Mus musculus: one gene and its partner. The protein of the gene in region 2 interacts with the protein of the main gene of each other region in a biochemical or structural test. Links are inferred from orthologs where the notes say so. Each region holds a gene or a part of one and is shown on either strand. Other genes may lie near its edges. The genes, in order: Vegfd and Flt4.

Region 1 (3,818 bases), on a different chromosome or scaffold from region 2:
GTTCAAAATTCTCCAAGGTGCTATGTGAGTCCAACCTGCTTTGTATGTCCTCCCTTGGACTAGCGTAGCTTACAGGCTATATCCATTTCATGGCTATACCATAAGCAAGACATAATAAATCTCACAAGGCATGCACAGTCCCAATTTGTACTATGTGGTGTCAGCTATCATCTTATTGGCCAAAACAAGTTTTATGGCCAAGCTCAATGCCAGGAGGTAGGAAATTGTCTGTCATCAATAGAAATGGTTTGGGAAGGGATGAGTAAGTAGTTTAAATAACAATCAAATCCACCCACGTCCCAAAGAACCACCAAAGATTTTATTTTGTTTATACTTACAATTTATATTCAATTTTAAAAACAAGAGCAGAGAGCAGGGATTTTTAAAGAACTTGAATGATAGTGAAAAGAACAGATTAGGAAAACACTTAGGAGAGCAAGCTGGATAAGGCCCCCTGTCTCCTGACTCCCGGCATTCCAAACCGCTTACTTACAATGACTAACTCTATTGCTCATGAATAACTTTGCTGAAGTCATTACCATAAAGGATAAGGGCAAAAATGCAGATGGTGGAAACTGAGAAAAGTATACAATAAAATTTACATCATGGTTCTCTTTCTTTGCTGCAGCTCTTTGAGATATCAGTGCCTCTGACATCAGTGCCCGAGTTAGTGCCTGTTAAAATTGCCAACCATACGGGTTGTAAGTGCTTGCCCACGGGCCCCCGCCATCCTTACTCAATTATCAGAAGATCCATTCAGACCCCAGAAGAAGATGAGTAAGCATTTCCTGGACTTGATAATGTCTGTTCTTGCTTTTGACAAAACTGCATGTACATTCCTTTACCCATTATACAGGCATCCTCAGAAAGACATGTGTTGCACATTTTCTGTTTTATGGAGCATTAAAAAACAAAAAGACATGAAAGTAGAAGGGGGGTTTTTAGGGAAAGGAAGCAGATGAAGAGGAGGAGGCAGAGAGGAAAAGAGAGGAGAAAAGTGCAGGTGAAGTATATTTTATGCATGCATGAATATGGTATGGTGAAAACCATTATTTTTTTACAATATACACTAATCAAAATGTTGAAGACACAAATAGAAAAAATATAAGTTGCAATTGCATTGTAATTGCAAAAATTACATTCTCTTCATTAAATTTTTTCATCTTCTGACTTTAAAACCAGATCTATTCATAGTATTTGACAAACACATTATTTTTTTACTAGGTGCTATATCTATATTACAGTAGGACCCAAAACCTTGAGGATCATGAACACAGCATGTTTGGATTCAGACACCTTCAGGGTTTTACTGTGGGTTTTTTTTTGTATGTTTGTTTTTTATTTTGATATTTTTGAGACAGGATCTCACTTTGTATCCCTGGCTGAACTGAAACTCACTCTGTAGACCAGGCTGCCCTTGAACTCTGCCTGTGCTTCCTGAGTGCTGGGATTTAAGATGTGCTGCCACATTGGCCCAACACCTTTGTTCTTAGAATGAGTGGCCGAATGCATTGTAAAACTGCTCCAGCCTCATAGCTACCATGTCTCCCCTCACTCCTGTGCAAACAGTGACTCTCATAAATCCAAGTTTAGTCTCTAAAGTTTCCCTAATAGAATATTTATAACTATAGAATTATTATGTCATAAGATGTCATTTCTAAATATAAAGTAAGCTCCATATTTTCTTTTGTTTGTTTGTGTCTATGTATGCATGTGTGTGGGTCTGCACATCTGTGCATGTGCCATTGGAGTCCAGGAGAAAGTGCTGGATCGTTTAGAGGAGGGATTCTAGGTGGTTGTGAGCCGATCCACATGGGTGTTGAGAACTGAACTCGGCCCCGTGGAAGAACAGTACTCATTCTGAGCTGCTGAACCGGCTCTTTAGCCCCAACGTTAAGGTCTTTACAACTCTTCTCACACAGTTGTAATTTTTTCACAGTCACCATGCCGTGAGAGACAAACATTTGTTCTCCTGTATCACTCTTAGAAACAAAATTTGAAAGCACTAACATGCTCCACACAGAATGTTTAGATTATTAGATATCAAATATTAAGAATGACTTAATATTCCCAAAGTAGGATTACTCTGAAAAACTTTTAAATCTGGTTCTTTGCTTTCTTTTCCTAGATGTCCTCATTCCAAGAAACTCTGTCCTATTGACATGCTGTGGGATAACACCAAATGTAAATGTGTTTTGCAAGACGAGACTCCACTGCCTGGGACAGAAGGTAAGGATGGCAGTAGTGAAGTACTAACCATACTGATAGAAGGAATACAACATTTAGCATGGCTGAGCATTCACTATGACCACGTGTATTAGTTTTCTGTGGTTGTGATAAAATATTGTGACCAAAAGCAACTTCCGGGAGGAAGAGCATATTTTGACTCATGTTTGAGGGTAACCCATCATAGTGGGGAAGGTATGTGAGCAGGCAGGCAGGGCGTCAGGAGCAGGAAACTGACCGGTCACATTTCATCTGCACTCAGGAAGCAAAGAGAAAACAGGAGCTAGAGTAAGGCTATAACCCTCCAAAGCCCGCCTCTAGTGACGTACTTCCTCCAGAAAGGCTTCGCCTCCTAAAGGTTCCATAACCTCCCCCAGACAACTGAGGGTCAAGCGTCTCAATCAAGGCACAACATCCCACAATGTTCACAACTCATGATCATCCCTCTTTACAAGCACACAGTGTCTACCCCGAGATATCTAGTAATTTCCTCACTCTCACACAGATAACAGTGCCAGAAGTGGTTGGATTTTAGAGCCTTCTCTGTTCGCTTCGCTGTTCATTCTCAAAGAAAAGTACAAAGTGGACAAAGCCCCCTAAAGCAGGTGTTATACTCTAATGAAAACTACTTTGGGGTGAAACTCATAGGTCATTTGGAACTTGGTTTCTTTCAACTGCACCATTTGAAAGCAAGCAAATACTCTGGGAAAAAAATAAAGGAAAGAAGGAGGACACGTGGGAACATTTGTCTGTAACTGGAACACATCATGCTCCTGGGCTAAGCCAAATAGGGAATTGCTAGCCTGTCATTCCATCTCCCGATCTGTTAAAGCTCTGAATCCTGGCATGAACATATGGTTGAACAAACATGATGGTTTACTTTTTTTAAAATTTATTTCCACACATGTGACTTGGTTCCACTGAAAACTATCACAGGGGACCATGCAACGTGAACGTTGCTTGTTTTAAACTCTGATCTCCTAGCAAGAATAGCAAGGATCCAGAGCCATAGAATCTGTCTGAAATGTCAAGCTCTTAGTGCTCTTGTCCTCAGGTTCCAGTTCTCGGCACCAGTGTAAGAGCTCAAACTAGGATGGGAGGTAAAATATTTTTGAAGTTATCTAGCCAAAGGCTCACACACATATAGTTTCAACACAGACACAACAAAGTAAAGGGTGACAATTGAGGCAGCATGACACAATGCAGTTGCTAAATCACCATCAGCCAATCCTGCGTGGAGTCGAAGCCAAGGAGTTCCCTGGGGGGGGGGCACCTCAAATAAACAGGTTGGGCCCTACAGACTTGAGGAGGGGTCATAACCTGGGTGGGGCATTTTCTTTCAGGGGGATGTTAATTCCTGGGGAAGACTCACTAGGTAGGTTCATACATTGAGGATGGAAAGAGAGATGTGCTCTGAGCAGGGCTTAGGTGAGAAAGCAAAAACCCAGTGCTGGGAAAGGTTAGTGGGGGAACACATTGGTTACTTTTTAGGTGCTGTAATAAAATATCTGACAAAAGCAATGGAGAGGAAAAAAGAAGGAATGAAGAAGGAAGGTGAGGGATGGAGGGAGGGAGGGCGGGCGGGCGGGCTC
Region 2 (3,818 bases):
GTGGCGCCCAGTCACTGCCTTTCTGTCCTTGTACCTGGCAGAGGAAGGGAATTCAGAAACTGTGGGGACCAAATGCTAGCTCTGGGCTTGCATTTGCAGGCCCTCCAGTGGGAGTAGTTCTCGGTTTCCTGTTGGTCACCAGAATCTTTAATGATCGATCTAAGATACCGGATGGCATCAACAAGAACAAATTTTGTTTGAGGATGCCATAATAAATCCTCTGCATGCTAATTAAATTAATATGCATCACTTTGCATGCTAATTAAAAATAAAGGAACCAAGGCAAATAGAATCCCAAATACCCAGTGCTCAAGTCTCTCCTATAAAGTAACACAGACTTTTCACATAAGCTACCACACCTCTCTATATACTGTAAACCATCTTTAGATGACTTATGGTACTAATACATTGTTTCATAGAAGGTTGTGATCTTGACATGCTCAGGGGCTGTCATAGAAACAAAAGGTCCAGATACATTTTAGAGGCTATTTTTCCATCTAAGGTTCATTGGCCCCGTGGCTGCAGAAAACACTAATATGAAGGGCCACACATACTGCTGGAGGTGGGAAGAGAAGGCCATGTGGCCTCTCTTGACAGATCAGACTAGAGCAAGAGGCCTCTCCTGTGCTAGACCAAGAAGGGCAGCAGGAGTATGGGATGGACAGAGTCCCTGGTCTGAGGAAAGGCAGACAAAAGCTCTGTACTGGGCTGACTTATGTGGCCAGCTCAGCAATGTCACTGGCCTTGAGGCCCATCATGAGATCTTCAGTGGCACTTCCAGACTTACCCCTAAATCCTTTGACACTCCCCTCCCTACCAGTCTCTGCTTAGGGCAGCTCCACTCTTTTCTATGAACTTGGCCTAGGGACTAGGAAGGCAGCTTCCCAGTTCGTCCATGAAGTTCTTCCACACCTCTGAGCTTTAGCATCAGAGACTGACTTCACCACCCTCGGTGGGCCCTGTCTTCTTTCTCAGTGTATACTGATGAGGGAAGGAATAGCAACAGCTGAGCCCATGGAGTGCTAATTGCTTGCTTCTCGGACACCTGCCTCGGGAAGCTCCAGTGAGTTCTCCAGACCTGGACCTTCTCACAGGGCTTACTGTCTTACTGTCACCCTAGTTGGGATGCTCTTTCTGTAGATGACAATTTGCATGGCTCTCTCCTTCCTGCACTGCAGCTGGAGTATTGGCTCTTCAAGAAGGTTGTCATCTGTCCCTGCCTGCCATGTTCCAGTGCCTGACCCCCTCCCTTCCTCCCTCTCTTTTCCTCCATTCCTTCTTCCTTCCTTCCTTTCTTCCTCCCTCCCTCCCTCCCTCCCTCCCTCCCTTCCTTCCTTCCTTCCTTCCTTCCTTCCTTCCTTCCTTCCTTCCTTCCTTCCTTCCTTCCTTCCTTCAGATCAAACCAGGACCTACACTCCTATCTGGCACACTGGGTTTTGTACAAATTGGTTGACGATCCTCTCACTGAGCTGTGAGCTTCAGTGAGGACAGGGACAACTCACTGCCATATCCTGTTTACACAATACCCCACTGGGCATGTGTGGTCACTCTAGGTCTCTGCTGCAAGTGTGAGCAAATGCCTCATACCCTGGACTGTTTCTGCAGCCTGAGTCCTGGGCTTCTAGGCCCCTCCCCTCTGAATAGGCTAAGCTAGGACTCTGTGGCCCTGAAAAGGGACATCTCTTAGGTTAAAAATTCTCCTATGCCTCAGTGTCTTTATTTGACAACTGCAGGAATTGCAAAGGCTCACTGAAATAGTGCCTTCACTTTGCTGGGCACACCGGACCAAAGACCCAGCCTGGCTGGCTGTCCACTCATTGACTTAGTGTAATCCTAACACGGTGCCATCTAAACAGTGGTCACCTGTGAGACGGTGATGAACACATGCGTGCTGGGACAGCTGCACACTGCAGAGAGGAAGACAATAGCTAAGAGGGAAGAGAAGGGTCAGAGAAGGTAGATATGTTCCTGTGGAAAACTGTGCTGAGAGCAGACTCAGTCCTGCTGGCCTCAGAGGTCAGGGGACTCTGTGACTCTAAGAGTTGTAATTATGCTAGCTTCATCAGTGAATTTAGGACCTTCCCTCTAGGGCTCTATTCTATGCCACGTAGTGCTCTATGGCTCAAAGCTATGGCAGGATTTAGGGAGCCACAGACTAATTAATAACTGAGCCTTCACAGAAGCCAGCTTCCAGCCTATGGCCAGTGGGTCCTGGCTGAAGACCTTTGGCGCTTCTGTTTGTCCTGCACCGGAGCCTTTCTACCAGGTGTGAGGTGCCTCAAGCTTGGAAGGGCAGGGCTACCCTGGGTTTGACAGGAAGAGACAAAGCAGGAATTCCTGCCAGGAGACCTGGGGCTCAGGTGGGAATGCTTGTCCCTCTTCTGGCCCATTTTCTTATCTGTACAAGGTAGACGGAAGCTGCAGGAGGACTGAATCAAGTGGGTGGCTCAGGGTGTAATGGAGGATTGAGGCTTTGTACTCAATACAGAAGGTATATCACCGAGGGTCCCTCTGTGCTCTGGGCATACCCTGTAGGGAAAGGCCAACTCTCAGGTCTCCTACAGGCCTCTCACTACCAGATAGCTCAGAGCCAGGCTTATCAGTCTTATGCTATCTCAGATTTGTGGGTCAGAAGGTCCTCAGAGAAGAACTCTTCCAAGAAGGGAGCCCAGAGAACTAGCCACTGCAGAGCAGGCCCTGAGTTTGTTCCCTGCATGGAGATCCAGCTAGCAGAGCCTTGCTGAGTCTGAGGGGATGTAAGAAGCAGGAATATAAAACCCCATACTGCCAATCACACCCCGCACACCGGATCTGGTGTTTAAAACATTTTGCAGTTTAGCTGCTCCTGGGCTGAGCTTCTTCTGAGTATCTGCATGCATTCCCTTTAGGGGCTGGATTTAGGGAGGGTCCCACCTGGGTTTAGGGTATGGAGGCGCTGATGGGCAAGGATTAAATCCTCTTTTGAGATTCAGGGCTACTGATCTGATGGGGAAGGATCCTGTCCTTTTCATGCCCTGGCCAGTCCTTGGGTTAAGCCTGGTGGGGTAGCAAGGGGAGGCTGTTACCATTGGAACTCCGGTGGGGGATAAGCTGCCAGCTTCACGGGTAGCTTCACCAGCTCGTCACCGGCTGTGGCCTCCAGGACAGGTCCTTTGAGCCACTCGACACTGATGAAGGGCTTTTCTGCCAAACAGGAGGCATGAGTGTAAACTTGGGGCTGACCATCCACCAGGCCTTCCCAGTCTCTCCCTCTGCAGACTGGAGCTTTGCCTCGCTGTCCAGCTGGTAGGAGCTGGGCAGGGCTTCCCCTCAGAGCCCTTCCTTCCTTTTGACTGGCCCCTGCTGCTCAGGTGCATCATGACCTCTGACCCACACCGCATAAAGACCCTTGTTGTCCAGGTTCCATGAAACCGGACCCATCCCATCCCATGCCGGGCACAGTGACCTCAGCCTCCCAGGTCATACCGTGCACAATGACCTCTGTGCTTTCCCGGAACCGCTGAATCCCATTGTTGGCCTCACACACATAGGGGCCCAGGTCATTCTGGCTGACATTGTGGATGGTCAGGATGCTGGAGAGTTCTGTGTGGGTCTGCTGGGAACGCCGCTCAGGTACCCACTTAGCCCGCTCTGCCTGCCGCACCCAGGGGAAGCCCAGGGTCAGCAGGCAGGCAGAGACAGAGCTAACCCAGCAAAGGCCCACACCCCTGCCCAAGCACAAGTGGTTCTGGGTGCCCCGCTTCAGAGCTTGCTTTGGTATAGAAAACTTCCCCATCCATCACTTGGGTTACTGAGTCTGTATCCCCTCCACACAGAGG

Evidence for each region.
Region 1: the proteins of Flt4 (region 2) and Vegfd form a complex in vitro, tested with the Homo sapiens proteins (2 studies listed by BioGRID). The link is inferred for Mus musculus from reciprocal best matches to the Homo sapiens genes FLT4 and VEGFD.

What each region holds. Positions count from the first base shown.
Region 1 is NC_000086.7:164,393,805-164,397,622, forward strand, and holds part of Vegfd (vascular endothelial growth factor D isoform VEGF-D358 preproprotein), read left to right. Parts: intron 1-628; coding exon 629-777; intron 778-2,128; coding exon 2,129-2,229; intron 2,230-3,818. UniProt on the Homo sapiens protein: Growth factor active in angiogenesis, lymphangiogenesis and endothelial cell growth, stimulating their proliferation and migration and also has effects on the permeability of blood vessels.
Region 2 is NC_000077.6:49,626,485-49,630,302, reverse strand, and holds part of Flt4 (vascular endothelial growth factor receptor 3 precursor), read right to left. Parts: intron 3,635-3,818; coding exon 3,466-3,634; intron 3,184-3,465; coding exon 3,066-3,183; intron 35-3,065; coding exon 1-34. UniProt on the Homo sapiens protein: Tyrosine-protein kinase that acts as a cell-surface receptor for VEGFC and VEGFD, and plays an essential role in adult lymphangiogenesis and in the development of the vascular network and the cardiovascular system during embryonic development.